4 linked regions of the Arabidopsis thaliana genome follow. Each later gene encodes a partner of the first gene's protein in a complex. Each region holds a gene or a part of one and is shown on either strand. Other genes may lie near its edges. The genes, in order: AT1G06450, AT1G31500, AT5G11350 and AT3G58560.

Region 1 (3,916 bases):
ATCAATCAAACGTCCTCTTTCATAAGCCTCTCTGAGAAAGACAGTGTGTCTTTTCCCTTTAGTTGACACATAAAACATGCCCGGGTGATCCAAGAACAAATCTCTTATGTTCAAATCAATCCCAAAACATTTTCTGAAATGGCTGATCTTTTCTACCTCCACCATCTTCTCTACAGTCAGATTCAGGAACTCGTGAGCAATCGCAACCGCTCTTTTCTCTATTCCCATCACACCGGATCTACTCTTCTTCTTACCAACCATGTCCTCGTATGGCCCTACGTAAGGCAGCCTCTGCCATTCCTTAACTTTAGCCTTAAATGTCTTGCTCAGTCTCATTCCTGGTGGGTAACTATGTTTGAAACTAAACTGAATCTCGGTTCTATCGACACTGCAATCCTCCTTAGAACACTCAACCACCCTCCATTTCTCAACCGCGGCCTCAAATTCCAGTCTTTTCTCTTCTTCCTGAACCAGCTCTAAGATATGGGTGTTGGATTCATGACCATCACTAAGCTTAAAAAGATGAGGGTTCTTTGAGATCACAGAGTCCTCAAAATCATCTGGGAGCCCAAGTTCTCTCCAAACCTTAAAAACCGCACGAAGCGGAATGGACTTTGATATGGACATAGACAAGAGCCTAACCAACCGGTCAACAACAAGAGACAAAGTAGCAGTGATAGCCAAAGCCTCTTGGCGAGAAATCTCCATGGCTACATCAGTTAACCTGCAAAAGGGCTCAGCTTTCACAGGATCATACAAGACATGAAAGATGTGAGGATACTTTCGCAGGAAAGAAGCAGCGCCACGATTAAGGTGGAGCTTCTGGGAGAGCCTGGAGAGAAACTCAATGGATAGAGAGGGAGGATCAGCTGTTGGATTGGCGAGGGTAAGGTCTTGTATGGCAATGACCTTGAGAAGGTTCTTGTATTTGTCCATGAGCTTCTCGAAAACAGGGTCTCTTGATCTGGAAGCTACATATTGAGCAGACGTAGTCGTTGATCGGACATTGATGATGGAGCCACCACATGGGTGAACCAGAAGTGATCTCATGAGGAGGAACCTCATAGTATCTCAAAGAGTATATGGAGCTATTTTGAGTTTCCGCGTTCCACAACGTCGCTGTATATACCCACACTCTCTGCGGAATTATATCGAACACCTAACAGGCATTAAGGGAAAAAACGAAATTAAAAAATGAAGTAGAAGAATTATATGGACCTTTGTATTTTCATGTCCAAGACCAAAACACATCTATAAGCGAATCAATTACCGCTATAAAATTTATTTAAACTAATAAAACACATACAATAATAGTTTAGCCTAGTAAATAATTATACTAGTTTGATATCATAAACTTTTGGTATGAGAGGATAAATGCTGTCAAATATAAAGTTTTATAAAACAAAATATTTTAATGTTATGGATAAGTTTTTGACTTACAAAGAATTAAAATGGTATGATGCGATTTCTATAATTAGTGTCAAAGCATCTAATAACAATAACCATTCAAGTTCTTAGTGTTTAAAATCAAAAGTTTAAACACTAATTGATACTCATTTTACATATTAATCTAATACTTGTATTGGAAGTTTTGCCATTATCTATTAATTATATGTAATTTACTTTTTGGGACGGAAAAAGGAAATTGTGGATTGGTTAAAAAGAGAGTAAAAGCACCATATAGTAGCAAAAAGTAAAAGATAACTACAAGAATTTCCTAACTCCTAACGAAAATTAAAAAAGAAGAAGATAATTTCTAAATTAAATTTAACAGAAATTAAATTAACAAATAAAATTATAATCAGAGAGAATATAAACCGTCATGATCAACACCGCGTTAAAATTAATTGGAGAGCAAGCTATTAGCTTAAGCTATGTATCTTTAATTAATTAGAAAAAATCCGAGAAAAAAGGAAACTCAGGTACACGAATTTATTTAAGAAAAGGATAAATACTCTCTTTTTTTTTATAAAGAACCCTAATGCTCTCACACAATCAATCAAACCAAAAAGACTTCTCGTATTCATGCCTCTCCCTCCTAAGAAAAGAACCCTAATTTTTATTATCTGCAGAAATCATCATCATGAACGAGATTCATCAACCGCTGGCGAGGAGAGTATGGAGAAGCAACGTCGATGAAGAGATGGCTCGTATGGCCGAATGTCTCAAGCGATTCCCACTCATCGCTTTCGATACAGAGTACCCTGGCATTATTTTCCGCACTTATTTCGATTCCTCTAGCGACGAATGTTACAGAGCCATGAAAGGTAATGTCGAGAACACCAAGCTGATCCAGTGTGGTTTCACTCTTTTCAACGCCAAGGGAGAGATCGGTGGTGTTTGGGAGATTAACTTCTCCAATTTCGGCGACCCATCAGACACACGCAACGAGCTTTCCATCGAATTCTTGAGGAGGCATGGTTTGGATTTGCAGAAGATTAGAGACGAAGGAGTTGATATGTTCGGCTACGGGTTTTTCCCTAAGCTTATGACTGTGTTTCGTTCTCAGAAACACGTTGAGTTCGTCACTTTCCAAGGAGCTTACGATTTCGCTTACTTCTTGAGTATCCTCAATCATGGCAAGCTACCAGAGACTCACGGCGAGTTTGCAACAGAGGTTGTCAAAGTGTTCGGTCAAGTTTACGACACCAAGGTCATGGCTGGATTCTGTGAAGGACTAGGTGAACACCTCGGGTTAAGCAAACTAGCCCAGCTACTTCAGATCACTCGTGTGGGAAGAGCACATCACGCTGGTTCAGACAGCTTAATGACTGCACTTGTCTTCATCAAGCTTAAACATGTCTATGAAGATTCCAGATTTGCTAGAGGATTGATCTATGGAATTGGGAAAAGCAACCTCGTTGCCGCCCCTGCCCCTGCGCCTGTGCCAGAGCCGACTCTTCCTTTGATGTGCCAGCAGAATGTAGCTTCATATCCTGTGTTCCACAATGGATATGTCCAGAACTATGAGCAGCCTCAGCTTGTCTCCTACGATCCTTCAGGTGCCCCATGGGCGTTCTGTAATGCTACCGGTACGTATGTGCAGCTTACTCATCTACCTGCAAGCACTTTTGCATACCCGTCTCAGACGCCATCTGCTACTGTTGATTATCTTGGACCAGTTCCTAATTATTACAACAATAATGCTTGCTACGTAGTTGAGTAGATTGAGATTTCCCCAGCTTTAGGATGATTAGATGCTTCTGAGCTTTTTTCTTTTTTTTTTCTTTTTCTTTTCTGGCTTTTGGTAGTAGTAATGAAGATTTTATTTTTATATATTTATGGATTGTTTACATGGCTTCACTTTGAGTAATGCCTGTCTACAATCTGTGATATATAAAAGACCAAACTATTTTACATAAAAGACCAAACTTTCTTCATGATTTGATATTTTTCTTTTCCACACAAACTGCTATATCACACACAATGTTTACCGTATCTATATATGGTTTCAGAACGATGAACCCTCAAAGCTTTGGAATTACTATTCTCAGAATCCCATCCCTGTTTCAAACGCAATAATAAATTGGATGTTAGTGCTCTTTATAAAACTTGCTAAATTCTATCTAAACTAATTCAAGCTAATGACTGACTGGCACTAAGATGTAAAATTGGATTCTAAAACGACTACTTTTTAGGTGTGCACTACTAGCTAAAACCTACAGGCAGAATCTATCATATGAACTCTAGGATTGAAAGATTTAAGGAGAATAGTTGTTTGATCATACGGTTAGATTGTTAGTAAGTATAGCTTCTACTTACATAAATTCAGCGGAAACATTATCCTTGTTCACATTGCTGGGGAGTGGCCAGGAAACTTTGAATGGTCCTTGTAGTATTTCTTGCTTATGATATCCAAGGATCGAAGCTTTGGTGCCTGCATCAACTTTTTGACAGATAGATGTGCGTCTACCTG
Region 2 (5,153 bases), 9.3 Mb from region 1:
CTAATTGACCTAGTTACAAAGTGACGAATATATAGCAGAATCTTACCATTGTTCTCAATGAAGTGACTTGGATATATTGGAAACTTGGGAAGTTGAGCTATAGAAACTGTCATTAACCTACTCCAATGCTTCTTCATCAGTATATCTTACCTGCTAAGTGCGGTTCACGTAACAAAGAAAGATGATCTCCACGGAAAATCCCTAAAGAAAGAGAATCTTTCCACTGGATCCCGATGGATGAGTGATGAAGAGACTCGAACAAGGTCTCAAATCTCTCTTTTGAGAAATCGAAACTTTGTATCGAAACGGTACCGTAGATATTATAACCTATCCAATAAGGAGTTCCTCCTATACACACACTTGACAATGGTAGTCGAAAGAACCCATGGAAGGTTTTATCAACAACAACAACCTTCCAACAATCAGATTTGAAATCGTAGATTTCAACACTTAAATTATTAGGACACCGAAACCTAACCATTTTGTAATCATTACAACCACTTGGTGACTCGTTACTAATGTATCCAAGACCATATGCATCGATGGAATGGTCAAACTCAAAGCTATAGCCACATTTGATCCATCTTGCTTCTTTCAACAACGGATTGGAAACTAAAATTTTGGTTCCCATGACCATTAGCAATAGACCATCACAATGAAACATGTTGTGCTCCAATAAATCCGAAGATGAAAGCGGTTTAAAAACCTGAAAATTTAAACTAGGTTTGTTGTTGAAATCCATACCGATACAAGAAATTGTTGAGCACAATGGAGAAACTGTGGCCGGAACGTAATTGAAGACTGTGAATATCGGTTCAAGACCATGCATGTGAGACATGTGCTTGTTGACGAATATCGGTTCTGTGATTAGTGTTTTCCATTGCTTGCATGTCCTCTACCAAATTAGTTTGTAGTATGTCCTTTACCAAATTAGTTTGTAGTATTATATTTGGGTTTGTTATTTTCAATTTAGGGTATATATTTTTATTATTAAAAACTTTTTTGATTCAATTTAATATTAGATTAATGTTTGCTCTCATTTTTATTTGGGGGATTGATACAAATAGTAATAAAAAAAACTTTATTATTTAATTAATTTATAGAGGATTAAAAATTTTATATGCTATTTTGGAAATTTCAAAAAAAAGGTGTCATTTTTTGGAATAATAAAGTTTTTTAGTGTCATTTACGTCAATCCCCTTGTTATATTAATATTGGTGTGAAGCTTTTTGGGAAATATATCTATAATTTCTCATCTTATAAAGTTTTATGCTCAAGTGAGTGTTAGTATGGAAATTTTTAATTCGCAATAGTGTATATTGGTCCGTAATGGTGAATTAGTTAAATATCGATTAATTAGATTTTAGTCTGGTACACAACCATTTATAGACTAAATATCTGACAGTAAATGATTTAGAAACTCATACTAACTTATATAGTTATATATATAGGTGCTTTGGGAATTTTTGAAAATTTTGGGTTTTGGATTTTGACGTTGATTTCGATTGGATTTTTATTTGTTGGAAAGTAAATGAACCTACTAATGACCTATTTTTGGTTCTAAAGTTCCAATAAATAAAATGAAGGCTCACTAACTACTTTAATATAAAGACAGGGAGCAAATGATAATTATCGAATTCTTCACTATTTTATTTGAAAACCCACAAGAGTTTCTTCAATCTAAAGCCAAATTGGGTTAAGTCAATTGTTGTCACTATAGATGTTTAGTTCTACAACTCTGCATCATCTTCCTCGTCCGAATCTTCTTCTTCCCAGGTGGGTTTCTTCGTTTCTGTATCAATCAATATACAGTTTCATTTTCTGTAATCTCAAGTTTCGTATTTAGTAATGCAACTAAATTGATCGTCTCTGTTCATTGTCATTGGGCAATTTCGTTGAGGAATACAATTTGTTTAGAAATTTCTCATCTTTATATTGGAACCAATCCTCTAGAATCTCGAATTTATCTGGGCTGTAATTGAAATTTTATGGGGAATTAAATCAGCTTCTTAATTTTGACCTAAATATTGATGTTCAAGGATTGTTTTTTTTCCTGACCCTTTGATTCAACAGCTCTCGTGTCTGCAGGAAAGTTATTTCGAGAAGAATGAGTACGAATCCTGCAATTGAACCAAAAGTTCGCAAATTTGAATCTGTTGAAGGAGTTGATATTGGTTCAAGAAATAAATCCGATGGTTTTTTTGCTATTCCTCTTTACTTATCAAAGCTTGTGGCTTTATATAACTGTATAAGTTTAAGTAGAATTGGTACTAGTAATGAGAATTTTGTGTTTTCAGGTATCAGATTCCGTCTTGTTTCATATAACATATTAGCTCAGGTAAGAAATAATCAAGCTTTTTAATCTCTCATATGCTTTGTGATATTTTGTAGCTTAATATTTGGACGAATTTTGTAGTTTTAAACGATCTTACGAATTTCTGAGCTTGATTTATAGATACAGACAGTTCTTTTAGCTCTTTCCTTTGTTGAGTTTCTTATCTATTTGAGCTTTATATTTCTTGTAGGTTTATGTGAAGAGTGCACTTCTCCCACACTCTCCACCTGCCTGTCTCAAGTAATTATTTTTCTCTACATTTCTCAGTTTCGAGATCAAATTTACTTATACTAGTCAAGAGTTCTTTCTGTGAGTTGTGTAATCAATGGCCTGGAGTATAGTCAAGATTTGCTTCAGAAAACAACAATGGATTCTATGAATGTTTAGGAACTTAGCTATAAGCAGGCAATATTGTGTTTGGTCTTACCCACGTTAATTATCCATTACCCAATATGTACTTTGGATTTAGCGATATATTAACTTTGTTAAAATATTAGGGAATGGTGCTTCTTAAAGGGTTATGGTTTTGTAGTAAATGTGACTTGGTCTTCCTTTTCTTGTGTTGCAGATGGAAAGCTCGTTCACATGCAATTCTCAGCGTTCTCAAAAATCTCCAGGCTGATTTCTTTTGTCTGCAGGTACTTTATTCTTGTGAAAACTTCTTCTTTTGTGTTTAGGTAGTATTGAGATACCCTTTTCGTATGAAACACAAAATTCATTCTTCTCTTTTGTTCAATCCATTAGACAAGCTCAGGCCTGTAAAAATGTTAGTGTTGTTTGTTCATAGGGCCTTTGAATTGTGTTTAACAAAAGGGTGTCTCCACTTGTTAGTTATATAGTTGCAATGCTCGCAGGAAGTAGATGAGTACGATAGCTTTTACAGAAATAACATGGACTCTCTGGGATATTCTGGGATTTATATTCAGAGAACCGGCCAGAGGAAGCGTGATGGTTGTGCAATCTTCTACAAGCCAAGCTGGTATGATAAAAACATTAAGCCTGACAAGACGTTAACTTAATGCAAAAACATCAATCTGATTGAAACAACACTCTTCTTTTGATTTAGTGCAGAGTTAGTCACAAAGGAACGGATCGAATATAATGATCTTGTGGACTCAATAAAAGCAGATAGTGTTTCCTGCAGCGAACAGAAGATTGAGACATCCAACGAAGGAAAAGGTGATGAGAAAGCGAAAGATAAATTTGTCCTTTTGGAGGAAAAGAAAGCAAATACTTTGTGCTGTTTCTTTATATCTCAACATCATTACTAACTTTTATCTATGTTCTCTTCACATGTTTCCACAAATCTGCCCCAAACAAAAGATTCTCGAAAAGACAGTCGTGACCTTAATGATCCACTAGTGAGACTAAAACGTGATTGCGTTGGAATAATGGCTGCTTTTAGGATCAACAAGCCGTTTCAGCATATCGTTATCGTGGCAAACACACATCTTTACTGGTAAAAATACTTGTCACCGATTGAAGATTATCTTTTACCACCCTTTAAACTTTCATCTCATGTTTACTTATCTCTAGGGACCCTGAATTGGCTGATGTCAAGCTTGCTCAAGCCAAGTATCTACTGTCACGACTAGCTCAGTTCAAAACACTAATATCAGATGAATTTGAGTGCACACCTTCATTGCTACTAGCTGGCGACTTCAATTCAATTCCTGGGGATATGGTTTGATTCAGTTTCTTACATTGAGTTTCCCTAATTGTTCAATCTATTTGCAAAATCAAAAGATTGGGTTTACGGTGGTAAAATCCTGATACTTGTCGTCGTTTTCCAGGTTTATAGTTACCTAGTATCGGGTAATGCTAAACCCACAGAGACCATAGAAGAAGAAGAAGCTCCAGTTCCTCTGTCTAGTGTCTATGAAGTCACAAGAGGAGAGCCTAAGTTCACAAATTGCACTCCTGGCTTCACAAACACACTTGACTACATCTTCATCTCTCCTTCAGACTTCATTAAACCTGTGAGTATCCTTCAACTACCTGAGCCGGATTCTCCAGATGTTGTCGGTTTCTTACCGAATCATCATCACCCGAGTGATCATTTACCTATAGGAGCTGAGTTTGAGATTCGTCGGGAATAGGAAGTTTCGTTCTTTAGAAAGTTTTGTCGCATAACTCCATTGTTTCAGCATTTGAATATGGTTCTTGTAGAAATCATGAAGCAGTGAATCATACACACACAACACAAAGTATTAAAGGACTTGGATCATTTTTGTCTCAATAAACTCGAAATTTTCGTTGTGTGCATTGAATTACTGAGAATATTTGAATTTTCTTGAGAAGAAATTGTTTAATGTGTCTTGTTTATTGCACTCATAAAATAACATAAGAATTGGTTCTATTATTCTGTAGTCAACTAGACAAAAACAATAGAAGATTTAGTGAAATGACATGTTAATATCATATGATGATCTCGTTTCAATTTGTTGAATAAAGTTGCAACAAAATTAGGTCAAGCATTGATCTGTTTTATCTATCAACCACTAAAGTTTGTACTATCGCACCAACTTATAATAATAAATCATAATTTTGAGTACGAACGAATATTCTTTTACAGTCTCACCTTTCACCGATAATTTGAACCATTGTTATTGAATAAAGTCGTACTCTTCAAACTTTTATCCAAAATGACAGTGATGTAATGTTATGTTCCAAAAACATAAGATTTTTTCAAAACGGATAGTGATCATTCCTTTGAATATATAATCACAAACAACCGAACAAAAATATTATATTTTCTATGCTTATTATATGTTCTTATAAATAAATATCATTTAGCATAAGCTTCCCTTGAGAACCT
Region 3 (6,254 bases), on another chromosome or scaffold:
GTTGTTTGTTTAGTTGGTTCACTGGTCATTGTAATAGGTGTGATTATCTGTGTCTTCTCTTTTGTTCGGTTCCGTGAATTTATTTGACTGAGCCATGTTTTATTTAGGTTCAGTACTAGTGTCTGATACTAGGAAGAAGATGATTTTATCGGTAATATTGGTAGAAGCCTTCTTTCTAAGCCTTGAATGGATCGATTTTGTTTGCTTTCTATTGTCTGTTGTTTCGTAATTACCGATTCATGTTTGAACTTTGTGGTTGATGACATTGATGTTGACAAAGTATCATCTTGATCGTTGTTTTAAGTTGTTTGACTATATGAATACTGCATTCTTTTGTTCAACCAAGCAAAATTTTTTGTATGTTAAGCATGTGTACCTTGTAATCTATCGCTGATTGACTTATATTATCTTTCGAGAACATGGTCCAAGACTAATTTTCGTATTCACAGAATTTTTTCAAGCTCACTTTTGTGAAACCCTTGGTTGGAACATCTTTTGCGTCAACTAGTTCTTTAAATGTACAATAAGATGTGATTATGAAAGTCTAAAGACTGTTAACAACGTCTTAAATTTGGTACTAACTATTTCATTGCAGTTGCTTGGGTAGTTATGTTCTTGGTGTTACATATATTTTCTCTAATTTGTGATCAAGGAAAATTCTTCATGTTCTAATAATGGATTGACTTCCTCTCAGCATATTACAATGACATATGTGTTGGAGCTATCGCCTGTCGGCTGGAGAAGAAAGAAAGTGGGGCCATGCGAGTTTATATAATGACGCTTGGTGTTCTTGCACCCTACCGTGGGATTGGCATTGGTAAGTCATAAATCTGCTGTGCAAAACTTGAATACCGACAAAACATGAATAATGAAGAAAACTGTTAGCATGTTGTGTAATTCTGTTGTTTTCCTTACGTTTTAACACATGAGGCCAGCTGTAGTATGTTTATTCTGTAGTTCTCTATTTGAAGTGTCTCCATTTAGAGATTCAAACCACCAAGAAATAGTCCTTAGGGTTTTATGCATATCGTTGTTTTACCGAGAAACTGGAATTATGATTCCTCCTATATCAAGATTTAAGATCGAATTCCCTGCTTTAGAAAGAAAAACTCGATGTCTATAATTTGTGTATCTTGTTTTTTTCGTCTTTTGCAGGCTCAAATCTATTGAATCATGTTCTTGACATGTGCTCCAAGCAAAACATGTGTGAGATATACTTGCATGTGCAGACAAACAACGAAGACGCAATCAAGTTCTACAAGAAGTTCGGCTTTGAGATCACAGATACCATACAAAACTATTACATCAACATTGAGCCAAGAGATTGCTACGTTGTCAGCAAGTCCTTTGCTCAATCTGAAGCCAACAAATGATGAAAAATACCAAACTTGGGGAAGCCATTCCTCCCCAGTTTCTTTGTTGCATTCAGTTCAAGATCTATTAATGTTATGATGATCCTTCGGTTTCCGAGTTTTGCTTGTTTTGTTGACCTTAATTTTTCTTACTGATTCTAAATTTATAAATTCCTGGTTATATACTTGCATGATTTCTCTAATGTCCTCTTGGCTTTGGACATTTTCGTTTGGAAAAGTTTTTAACTTTGCAACTCAAAGCTTTACTACCAAGTATCATCGTGTTTGTAAATGTTGGTCTATGAATTTGAGTAAAGAGAGACAATGATTCTTGTTATGAGCTGTAGAATAAAGTAAAGAAAAAAATGAAGAATTTATGACTTGCGTTTTGGCTTGCGTGCCATTTATTCACAGTGAAGACTGGAAGATGTGTTCTTCTTGAATCAAAAAACGGCACGTCTTATGAGTCTCCGTTCATCGGTGTCTGCAATTAAGCACCGGTTCCTCGAGCTTCCTCACTCAATTCGATTGACCAATGCGGCGTTCTCGTTTTGTTGCTCAAGTTTTCTCCGACGTTACCTTCGCTGACGCCTCCACTATCTCTGCTCCAATCTTCACCATGTCTACTCGTGCTCCGGTAAATTTTCTCAGCTATTCTCTTGTTCTATCACTCCCGCTGCGTTGCTTCGGTTACTGGAATATAATTTGTTTCTTACGAAGCAGTACAGAGGTGCCCGAGGACGAGGACGAGGCCGAGGTGGGAGAAGTTTCTCCGATCGTCCGTACAATGATGACGCGGGAAGAGATCAGTTCGTTACTGGAGATTCTCATTTTCAATCAGTTCATGACGCCAATTTCCGATTCCGGCATGGTGAACCTTATCGACAACATCAGCCTCCGCTTGATCAGCGGCAGCAACCACCGTTCAATCAGAATTACGAATTTCGACCTCCGCCGCCGTCACGAGGTCAGTGGCAACAATTCCGTCAACCTAATCAGTTTCCGTCTAATCAAAACTACGCGGCTTGCCCTCCCCCTCCGTTCTATCAAAACCAGATGTCCCGGCCGCCTCCACAGCAGAGCTTTCGTCAACGGCCACGGTCAAAACCTTCAGATTACCGTGAATGGGAATATGCCAAAACGCCACCGTCTCCTGGCTCCGGTAATTTATGCGTGACCATCTCATTTGCTCCGGTATACAATTTTTGATTTGCTTTCTCTTGTCTACAGAAAAGTTTGTTGTTTTATCGTATAATATATTGGCGGATTACCTTGCAAATGATCACTGGAGAAGTCTTTACTTTCACATACCGAGGAATATGTTGAGTTGGGGATGGAGAAAGAGCAAATTAGTGTTCGAGCTTAGCCTATGGTCTGCAGATATAATGTGCCTTCAGGTTATAGTTTCTGCTATATCTTCTTGGTAATTGCTTGTATGAGGGACTAAGGAGACAAAACTTTCTTGCTTTACTATTTTTTTATCATATGTATACAGAATGTATCTTCCATATGTATAGTAATCTAAAATTATTTTGTATATGTCAGGAAGTTGATAAATTTCAGGACTTAGAGGAGGAGATGAAGCACCGGGGATATAGTGCTATTTGGAAGGTAGGTTTGTTGAAAACTTTTAGTTGTCTTGAGTTTGTATTCTCTACGGACTCTCTTGGAGTAAAGATTAAATGGTATGCATCATAAGAACTAGGCTTCAAATGTGGGGTTAACTCTATTTTATAAAACTGTAGATGCGGACTGGTAATGCTGTTGACGGATGTGCAATATTTTGGCGATCCAATAGGTTTGATTCCCTTGCTCTTCCTTGTGTGGATCAGTCTGGAATCTTGTTTAGGATTTCATTGTTATCATATTAGATTCAAGTTGGTTCACGAGGAAAGCATCCAGTTCAATCAACTTGGTCTCCGAGATAACGTTGCTCAAATATGTGTGCTTGAGGTAATATGGATACCTTATGTTGATAGTGACTTATATACATTTGCCTCTTTGCCCTAAATTAAATTTGCTCTGTGTAGACATTGTTGACTTCACATACAAAAGAAAATGAGACCCCTCCACCTGAAAGGTAACTTAAAAGTATCTGTAAATGTTACTATCATATCATTTTATGGGTGGATAATTTCACTAGGAAGTGGCCGATTTTCTTCAGATTTCAGTGGTTTTCTGTATGGACTATACTTTGTGGGTGGGTTGAAGTGAATTACCAATTTCTTTTACAGCTCTGCTGGTTCCCATCGAGTTGTCATTTGTAACATTCACGTGCTTTTTAATCCTAAAAGAGGAGACTTTAAACTTGGTCAGGTACTTTCCTTTAATGCCATATTCTAGTTTGTAGAAATCTTTTGCCAAACGACAGTTTTACTCTCTGGTTTAACTCTGTCTATACGCTATGAACATGTATAAGTGTTAGGTGTTTGAGATAAAACTTTTGAAACCAAACGCTTCGCCCCTTGCTTAACTTGGTTTCTTTAACTGTTTCCATTTATCATCTATGTATTTATCTCTGTTACGTAGGTCAGAACACTCTTAGATAAAGCTCATGCTGTTTCAAAACTCTGGGATGATGCGCCTATTGTTCTTTGTGGGGATTTCAATTGTACACCAAAGGTAGGACAATCTTACCTTAACCAGTTTGTATACCCCAAAAAACTTGTTTTGTGACATGGTCATAACATTCTTCCACCTGGTTGCAGAGTCCTTTGTACAACTTTATTTCAGACCGGAAGGTAAAGCTTCATTGTTAGGAAAGTCCTTCACCTATTCGCAACATTATATATATGGTTCACATTGTGTCTTGTGCTGCTCTCTGCAGTTGGATTTGTCTGGTTTGGCCAGAGACAAAGTTTCGGGGCAAGTTTCTGCTGAGTTTCGTCCACCAAGGCCAGAAAATTATACAACGAGGTAGAGCAAACTCACCAAGTTCTTCGACATCATTAAGTATATGGTTATGCAACTTAACACCTCCATGTCTACCCTAGAATATCGGGTTCTACTCTGCTTTTGCAATTGTCAGCATGGTTGATAGGCCTCCTCAATTTTCCAGGTATCAGTCCGCCAACAAATCTCCACAAGGTCAAGTTCAACCACCAAATTTGATCACAAATGCTCATATGGAGAATAACTCCAACATAGATGTTGGAACGGCCCCCTCCGAGAAGACATCTGAGCTTCCATGTGGTGATACAATTCTTGCTGGTCACGAAGCCACCTCCAGCTCTGACCAAGTATTACCATGCGAGAATATGGCCTCAGATTGTCAGTTTGGAATAGAAAACAGAAAACCTGATGATTCCGGGAATCTCTCGACAGCTGAAGATCTTTCTTCACTAACCATATCAGATACAGAACCTCAACATGCTTCCAGTGCTAGAGAAGATTTGAATACAGATCGTTCTGTAAGTTCCGGTTTATCAGAAACAGAGCAAACTCCTGAGGAAATATGTTCCAGTGATCAAGATATTTCATCTAGTCTCTCCACCAAGGTTGACACTTTTGTGGCTGAAATGAAACTAGATGGCTTAAAATTGGACGAACCAGTAGTATTCGCGCAAGATGAAGAAAGTTTAGGTGAAGATGGGGAAACCTTTTTGGCTAAGCTACACGATAACAATGAAAACTTGAGTCAAAAAGGGGAACTTGTGAGTGAAGTTCCACTTAAATGGAGTTCTGAAGCTTTAAATAGTGACAAAATCACTTATAGTCCATCCTCTTGGACTCCAATGGAGATAGCAACTGCAACTGGTGACCCAGAGAGAACTACGGTTGAACATGCTCTGGAGCTTAAAAGCACATACTCAGAAGTGGAGGTATTGTAATATATCCTCCCTACAGTTTTTCCCTTTTATCTTCTGTTTCTTGAGAAATTATATCCTTAGGAAGCTGTTGAAATTTGTGGTTAGGGTCAAGCAAACACAAGGGATGAAAACGGAGAACCTGTAGTGACCAGTTATCACAGATGTTTCATGGGGACAGTTGACTACATATGGTATTAGCATTAGAAGCAAAACCATTTGTGACAAACCTTAAAATTAGATTACTTCATTATTGTAAATTATGCGCGTTTTGACATATTCTCATGTTTGATTTCTGGTTTGGGTTAGGCGGTCGGAAGGTCTTCAAACAGTGCGTGTGCTTGCTCCAATACCAAAGCAAGCAATGCAGTGGACTCCAGGCTTCCCGACTCCTGTAAAATCCCATGATATTCTTATATAGCCTACCTTTTTAACTGAATTGTTTACAAAACTTTTTTATGTTTGTATTTCTGGTTTGTTACAGAAATGGGGAAGCGATCACATTGCACTGGTTTCAGAGTTGGCCTTCTGCAGCAGCAAAACTCTGCCCAAAAGCTGATATTAAACTGGTGGTGAGTTCATTAGAAATCTAAGAAAGTGTAAAGAGATTAGATGGTTGAGGTCTTGGGTTCAAAGCACATCCTTGTTGCAATGTTTGTGCTCTGAAGGTCGCCAATAGCTTATTTTATATCCCAGCAAAACATCTAAGAGTAAACTTTTACAGAATCTCATAGGCTCTAGTTTTGTATTTTTCTCTATCATATTTTACAGTGACAAATTATATTTGAGTTTTTCTTTTTGGGCGACACTCGATTTCAGAAAATCTGCTATAAAAGTTTAAAGCATGCTTCTTGATTTTAAATAGCTTCAATTGTTAACCCCTAACTCTTTCAGCTTTAGTCTAGACTGACTCTTTCAATTATTACAAATAAACACCTAGCATTTATCCATGTCCCTGTGTCCAATATAAGGACATCTCACATTAGGACCTAATCCCTGCAATATAATTCAGAGCATCCAAAACTTCTTGCATCAATGGTCGTTTCTTCTTGTCCCGATTGGTGCATCTTTGGATGAGTGTGACAATCTTTGTGGC
Region 4 (6,122 bases), on another chromosome or scaffold:
CATAATTTTCTAAATATCTATATTATTATATTATCTGTCTCTACCTAATTTGAATATTACAATGAAAATTTGTAAAAAATAAAATATTTTTGACATCATACATATATTTCAAAAAAATATTGTCAGCTAACTCAACAATTGGCCACAAATGCAAGTAAACTAAAAAACATACAACTACTTAACATATATGGATTGTATGATTATACAAGTCGTCAACATCATAAACATATAATCTCGGGTTAAATGGTCGACCAACTCCAGCGTTGATCAGCATTGACCAACAAAATATTCAAAACTAATTATTAGTATTAAAAAAATTAATGTTATTTGATATTGTAAAATACAAAAAAATATATTTATATCCAATATAAATATATTTTGTATATATATATAATGCATTAATTCATATAATATTTACTTTATTTTTTCAATTTCAAAACTAAACTAAGAGAATAAATATTTTTTTAAGATATGAACTATTCATAATAATAATAATAATAGTTAGTTTCTTAAGAAGTTAAATTTTTAATTGCTAAATATTTTTAATCAATAGTTAGTTTTTTCTTATATTATTCGTAAAAAACATTTACTTTGAATTTAAAAATTACCGTGCAAAATTTAGACTAAAAAGTTATATACTCAATTGTTTTTCATATTACTTTCTTATGAAACTTATATAGTCATGTGTATTTGGTTCTGTAATGATTTATTTTCTAATGAATAAAGAAGTTTATATATTTTAATTGATAATACAAAAAAAAGATTCTTTCACTCATATGTTTCTAATAAGATTTTTCTGGTTTTAATTTCAGTTTTTTTTTTGTTTTAAAAATTTTAATCATTTTTTTCATTTTTAGTTTAGTTTTGAAATTAAAAAAAGCTAAATATTTTAAGAATCAATGTATTAAATATATATGCAAAATATTTTTATAGTAGATGTAAAAATTGTTTTTTGATTATAGAATAACTAGTAAAACTAGATTTTTAATATTAAAAATAAAGTAAAAATTTATTTTTGAATATTTTTGTTGGTTAACACCGGTTGACGTTAGAGTTAATTGGTTATTTAACATGAAATTTTATATTTATAATGTTAACTATATAATATTATATACTTGGTTATGCAATCTATATACATCATTTAATTAAGTGTTATTTAGTTTAGTTGACATATATAGTTTGTACTGTATTATATTTTCCGTAAGTTTCAATCTTTTTTATTATAAATAGGTGAATATATGTGTATATAGAAAAAAGAGTATTAAAGACTTTTTGTTTCCCTTTGGAAAATAAAATAAAATAAAAATACGAGTCCATATTTGGTCTTGAACGAGACTTGCGTTCATTCCTAGGGGGATGAACCTCTTTGTTCACCTCCTTTTGCATTAACTAATAAAAATATGTCATGTCAAATCCTATTTAAATTACATAATAAATTGAAGCTATAATTATAATCCAAACCGATATATAATTTCGTTTAATTACAAAATCTAAACCCTAATTCTTCTTTGTAAATCCAAACCGCCATTTAAACTCATTTAGTCGTAAAAAAACTAAACCCTAATCGTATTTTCTAAACCCAAACCGACATTTAACCTTGTTTAATTGTTAAATCTAAACCTGTTAATAAATCTAAACCAATATTTAACCCGTTTAATCATAAAATCTAAACCTTAATCGTACTTTCTAAACCAAAACCGATATTTAATCTCGTTTAATCATAAAATCTAAACCCTAATCGTATTTTCTAAACCCAAATCAATATTTAACCTTGTTTAATTGTAAAATCTAAACCATGATTTTTTCAAATAAACTCAAATCGATATATAATTTTGTTTTTGAGGCAAATTAGATTTTATAATTAAATTAAACTTTTATTATTATTATTAGGTTTTAAATTTTAATGGGCTAAAACAGTGAATATAGAACCCAAGTATTTTTCTTTGGTCTTTGTCCATCTTTGGAAATTAATTTAGTCGTAGCGAACAAATCTATCCCACTCATTGGATTTCAATTTCATAAATTTTAGGTTGTAAAATTCGGGTTTGGAGAAAATTGGGGGTAAATCTAGGGTTCTGGGAAAATTAGGGTTCTGGGAAAATTAGGGTTCATCCATGCTGTCGAGTTTTAGGGTCAAGTAAATGACGGATCCATTAGGATCCGTTTTATATCTTATGCTCTCTCGTCTCAATATATATATTTAAAAATCTCAGCCTTTGGGCTTCGTTAGTGTTGGTTTGCTTTCAGAATTTAACTTAGTTACGGTAAAAGCAATGCTTAGCGTTATACGAGTGCATCTACCGTCGGAGATTCCTATTGTTGGCTGCGAACTTACACCTTACGTACTTCTCCGGCGGCCTGATAAGACCCCCTCCACCGATGATGTGCCTGAGTCAGCCCCGCTTGAAGGTCACTTCTTAAAGTACAGATGGTAAGTCATGCCTGTGGCTTCCTTTTACTCTTAAATCTGCTCCCTTTTACTAGCTTTTGCTCGAGTTTGTTATGGACGACTTTTTTTTACCGAAAGTTTGAGACTTTTCTGTGAATTCCCGGGTATGATTTGTTTAAGTGTTTCTTAGTCAGTTCAAGTCTTTGTTCGTTTGCAAATTTGAGTGTGAAAAATGATTTCTTTAATTGTAAAGTAGGGTTTATAAGTCTCCAGTCTTGTCTTTTGGTTCTGTATTAAAAGATGCATCATCTGTTGCAGGTTTCGAGTACAGAGTGATAAGAAAGTTGCGATTTGTAGTGTGCATCCATCCGAGACGGCAACATTGCAGTGTCTGGGATGTCTAAAGTCTAAAGTTCCTGTTGCCAAAAGCTACCATTGCTCTACTAAGTGCTTTTCGGATGCGTGGCAACATCACCGTGTGTTGCATGAGCGTGCTGCCAGTGCTGCTACAGAAGGAAATGATGAAGAAGAGTTGCCCCGTTTGAATAGCTCAGGGTCTGGATCTGGTGTTCTCAGCACCAGTGTTAGTTTAACGAATGGGTCATCATCAGTTTATCCTTCAGCCATAACTCAAAAGACCGGCGCCGGAGGAGAAACACTTGTTGAGGTTGGACGCTCTAAGACATACACACCAATGGCTGATGATATTTGCCATGTTTTGAAGTTTGAATGTGTAGTAGTCAATGCAGAGACAAAACAGAATGTGGGCCTTTCTTGTACCATATTGACTTCCCGTGTTATCCCAGCTCCATCACCTTCTCCGCGTAGGCTGATCTCTATTAGTGGAACTGATGTTACTGGGCACCTGGATTCTAATGGGCGGCCTTTGTCTATGGGAACATTCACTGTGCTGTCCTACAATATATTGTCTGATACATATGCTAGCAGCGACATATACAGTTACTGCCCCACATGGGCTCTCGCTTGGACATACCGTAGACAGAATTTGTTACGGGAAATTGTCAAGTACCGTGCAGATATAGTTTGTCTACAAGAGGTATGTTAAATATTTATGGCACAAGTTGTACTGACTTGGAAACGTTTCAATTGCTAGTTAATGGATAAATACCTCTCCAATATTTTCGTTTTTCATCTTGCAGGTACAGAATGATCATTTTGAGGAGTTTTTTCTTCCTGAGCTGGATAAACACGGATACCAAGGTCTTTTTAAGAGGAAAACAAATGAGGTTTGCTTCAACGCATCCCCTTGATCTTCCATTACCTTTTCGTGGTCACTTATCTGCAAGATGTACCAACCAGAAAATATTGATTCACTGGATAATTTTAGGTTTTCATCGGTAATACAAACACAATTGATGGGTGCGCTACTTTCTTCAGAAGAGACAGGTTCTCACATGTAAAAAAATATGAGGTATGTCTTAGTTTTCTCCTGTTACCTATCTAATTAGGCCCATTTGCTAAATCATTGGGCTGCTCATCCAGGTTGAGTTCAACAAGGCTGCACAGTCTTTGACTGAGGCTATTATCCCTGTTTCCCAGAAGAAAAATGCTTTGAATCGGTTGGTCAAGGTACTCTGAGATGCTCTATAGTATGATTTCTGTTTTCCGCACATTCTTGGTGATATTTTTTCATGTAAAACTGATTTAGAGTCTTTCTTTTTAGGATAATGTTGCTTTAATAGTTGTACTGGAAGCAAAATTCGGTAGCCAGGCTGCTGACAATCCTGGGAAGCGCCAGCTACTTTGTGTGGTAAGTTGTCCATCTTTTCAATATTGTTCTTTATTGTCAGAGATGATGCTAGAGTTGAAGTTATGTGTTTCCACTTCCTCTTCTCCTTTAAAGGTCTCGAGGTGATCATGTTTTCTCTCTTTTCATGTATTTGATGGGTGCAGGCTAACACGCATGTAAACGTTCCTCATGAATTGAAAGATGTAAAGCTGTGGCAGGTTGGTCTTTATTTCTCATTGTAAAAGAACTCTCAGATTTCGGATTCTTACATCACTATTGATCCATAATGATTCTTGCCCAAATAGGTTCACACATTATTGAAGGGACTGGAGAAAATAGCTGCCAGTGCAGATATTCCAATGCTTGTGTGTGGAGATTTCAACACAGTACCTGCGAGGTCTGGCTGGTTTTCCTATTTGTTATGCCCAAGTAGCAATTGTCAAACTCTATATTAAATTATGATTGTGGTTTCTACCTGAATTAACTTGGAGTTCCTTCTTAATATTTTCAGTGCTCCTCATACACTTCTTGCTGTGGGAAAGGTCGATCCATTGCACCCAGATTTGATGGTTGATCCTCTTGGAATTTTACGTCCTCACAGCAAGCTTACTCATCAGCTGCCACTGGTAATTATCTTTCCCAAAAATGGAAAACAGATGCACAGAATCGTGAAAGGCAGACTTCAATTTTAATTAGAATGGCAACATATGCGTAGACATCATACCTTTGTGACCATTGCAGGTTAGTGCCTACTCACAATTTGCAAAAATGGGAGGCAACGTTATTACTGAGCAGCAACGTAGAAGACTGGATCCTGCATCAAGTGAACCGTTGTTTACCAACTGTACCAGGGACTTTATAGGCACACTTGATTACATATTTTACACAGGTTAACTTAAGTGCTTACTTTCAGGGGTTTTACGCGCCAGTGTTTGCTTTCATCTCAGATTTCTTTTTCATCTGGTAAGCAATTTGCTTTTTGTTTTGTTTCAGCGGACACGCTAACAGTGGAATCGTTGTTGGAACTGTTGGATGAAGAGTCCTTGAGGAAGGACACAGCTCTTCCATCTCCAGAATGGTCTTCTGATCACATTGCACTTTTGGCTGAATTTCGCTGCATGCCCAGGGCCAGACGAAACAATATTTTATAGAGATACTGCAGCTGTAATAACCCGATACCAAAGACTGGTTCCAATGGATATGGTTAAGCTACATGAAGTAGATAGCATGGCCATGTCCCTGGGGTTTCTCCCGCTGGGTTTTTCGCTTGCGTTCTACTCTGTATCACAGTTTTATTTACTGCTTGGTTCGCTTGGCTTTTCTTTCTATAGTTATTTCCTCTTTGCCAGAAAGTTTTGTCTTCACTGGCTTGTGATTGTAACAATGTAAACAATTAGATTCTTCAAGAAAATAGTGACTTCACCTTTTCCATATTAAAATCTGTGTCTTCTATGGTTGCAATCCTCCTTACACTCTTAACCCTACAGCTTAACCATCAATTTTCTAGTCTCTTCACTTGTAGATATCTTGCAGATACTGTGAAAACGAACTGTGAACAACTTGATATATTTTATATGTACCCCTCCAATAACTGAAGATGATCCAAATTCCAAAACTCAAATTTCAATTCAGAAATTAGACATGTTAACCAGTACTCATTATATAATCCTTTTAAATCAAGTTTCTTGCAGACTTAGAACTCTCGAGTATCCCTATAACTAGAGAGGGAAACATATGTGAACAAGAAACAAGTCTTATAAAAAGCCACATTAAGTTCTTACTCTGCTGCATTAACTGATGGCTAGATTCATGGCTTACAATCAAAATCCACAAATGTTGGCTCTATGCATAACAGTAGCAGTAATGTTCCTTGGTGTGAGATCAGAATTGAGTCAGGATATAAAGGGATGTCAGGATGCGATGTCTGATCTCTACTCTTGTCTTCCTTTTGTCACTAACAAAGCTAAAGCACCAGACTCAACA

The links.
Region 2: AT1G06450 (region 1) and AT1G31500 share a complex: the UniProt entries of both Arabidopsis thaliana proteins name them as parts of the CCR4-NOT complex.
Region 3: AT1G06450 (region 1) and AT5G11350 share a complex: the UniProt entries of both Arabidopsis thaliana proteins name them as parts of the CCR4-NOT complex.
Region 4: AT1G06450 (region 1) and AT3G58560 share a complex: the UniProt entries of both Arabidopsis thaliana proteins name them as parts of the CCR4-NOT complex.

Annotation. Positions count from the first base shown.
Region 1 is NC_003070.9:1,963,841-1,967,756, forward strand, and holds AT1G06450 (Polynucleotidyl transferase, ribonuclease H-like superfamily protein), read left to right. Parts: upstream 1-1,999; 5' UTR 2,000-2,083; coding exon 2,084-3,166; 3' UTR 3,167-3,379; downstream 3,380-3,916. Other genes in the region: AT1G06440 (Ubiquitin carboxyl-terminal hydrolase family protein), read right to left, coding at 1-1,065; ACD32.1 (alpha-crystallin domain 32.1), read right to left, coding at 3,468-3,504, 3,763-3,916. UniProt on the Arabidopsis thaliana protein: Ubiquitous transcription factor required for a diverse set of processes. It is a component of the CCR4 complex involved in the control of gene expression.
Region 2 is NC_003070.9:11,273,102-11,278,254, reverse strand, and holds AT1G31500 (DNAse I-like superfamily protein), read left to right. Parts: upstream 1-1,626; 5' UTR 1,627-1,720; coding exon 1,721-1,776; exon of another isoform or gene 1,777-1,780; intron 1,781-2,073; coding exon 2,074-2,338; intron 2,339-2,525; coding exon 2,526-2,575; intron 2,576-2,903; coding exon 2,904-2,973; intron 2,974-3,189; coding exon 3,190-3,314; intron 3,315-3,401; coding exon 3,402-3,514; intron 3,515-3,658; coding exon 3,659-3,794; intron 3,795-3,871; coding exon 3,872-4,019; coding exon of another isoform or gene 4,020-4,025; exon of another isoform or gene 4,026-4,128; coding exon 4,129-4,434; 3' UTR 4,435-4,653; downstream 4,654-5,153. Other genes in the region: AT1G31510 (F-box associated ubiquitination effector family protein), read right to left, coding at 47-106, 151-838. UniProt on the Arabidopsis thaliana protein: Acts as a catalytic component of the CCR4-NOT core complex, which in the nucleus seems to be a general transcription factor, and in the cytoplasm the major mRNA deadenylase involved in mRNA turnover.
Region 3 is NC_003076.8:3,619,696-3,625,949, forward strand, and holds AT5G11350 (DNAse I-like superfamily protein), read left to right. Parts: upstream 1-1,823; 5' UTR 1,824-1,887; coding exon 1,888-1,989; intron 1,990-2,072; coding exon 2,073-2,514; exon of another isoform or gene 2,515-2,521; coding exon of another isoform or gene 2,522-2,582; coding exon 2,583-2,749; intron 2,750-2,897; coding exon 2,898-2,963; intron 2,964-3,097; coding exon 3,098-3,150; intron 3,151-3,223; coding exon 3,224-3,305; intron 3,306-3,382; coding exon 3,383-3,432; intron 3,433-3,586; coding exon 3,587-3,668; intron 3,669-3,881; coding exon 3,882-3,974; intron 3,975-4,060; coding exon 4,061-4,093; intron 4,094-4,179; coding exon 4,180-4,268; intron 4,269-4,410; coding exon 4,411-5,173; intron 5,174-5,266; coding exon 5,267-5,352; coding exon of another isoform or gene 5,353-5,359; intron 5,360-5,467; coding exon 5,468-5,552; coding exon of another isoform or gene 5,553-5,579; intron 5,580-5,642; coding exon 5,643-5,717; downstream 5,718-6,254. Other genes in the region: AT5G11340 (Acyl-CoA N-acyltransferases (NAT) superfamily protein), read left to right, coding at 695-817, 1,156-1,373; AT5G11360 (Interleukin-1 receptor-associated kinase 4 protein), read right to left, coding at 6,141-6,254. UniProt on the Arabidopsis thaliana protein: Acts as a catalytic component of the CCR4-NOT core complex, which in the nucleus seems to be a general transcription factor, and in the cytoplasm the major mRNA deadenylase involved in mRNA turnover.
Region 4 is NC_003074.8:21,650,048-21,656,169, reverse strand, and holds AT3G58560 (DNAse I-like superfamily protein), read left to right. Parts: upstream 1-1,969; 5' UTR 1,970-2,273; coding exon 2,274-2,431; intron 2,432-2,707; coding exon 2,708-3,446; intron 3,447-3,549; coding exon 3,550-3,636; intron 3,637-3,737; coding exon 3,738-3,821; intron 3,822-3,892; coding exon 3,893-3,979; intron 3,980-4,073; coding exon 4,074-4,160; intron 4,161-4,303; coding exon 4,304-4,357; intron 4,358-4,444; coding exon 4,445-4,536; intron 4,537-4,650; coding exon 4,651-4,765; intron 4,766-4,880; coding exon 4,881-5,028; intron 5,029-5,132; coding exon 5,133-5,290; 3' UTR 5,291-5,605; downstream 5,606-6,122. Other genes in the region: AT3G58550 (Bifunctional inhibitor/lipid-transfer protein/seed storage 2S albumin superfamily protein), read left to right, coding at 5,937-6,122. UniProt on the Arabidopsis thaliana protein: Acts as a catalytic component of the CCR4-NOT core complex, which in the nucleus seems to be a general transcription factor, and in the cytoplasm the major mRNA deadenylase involved in mRNA turnover.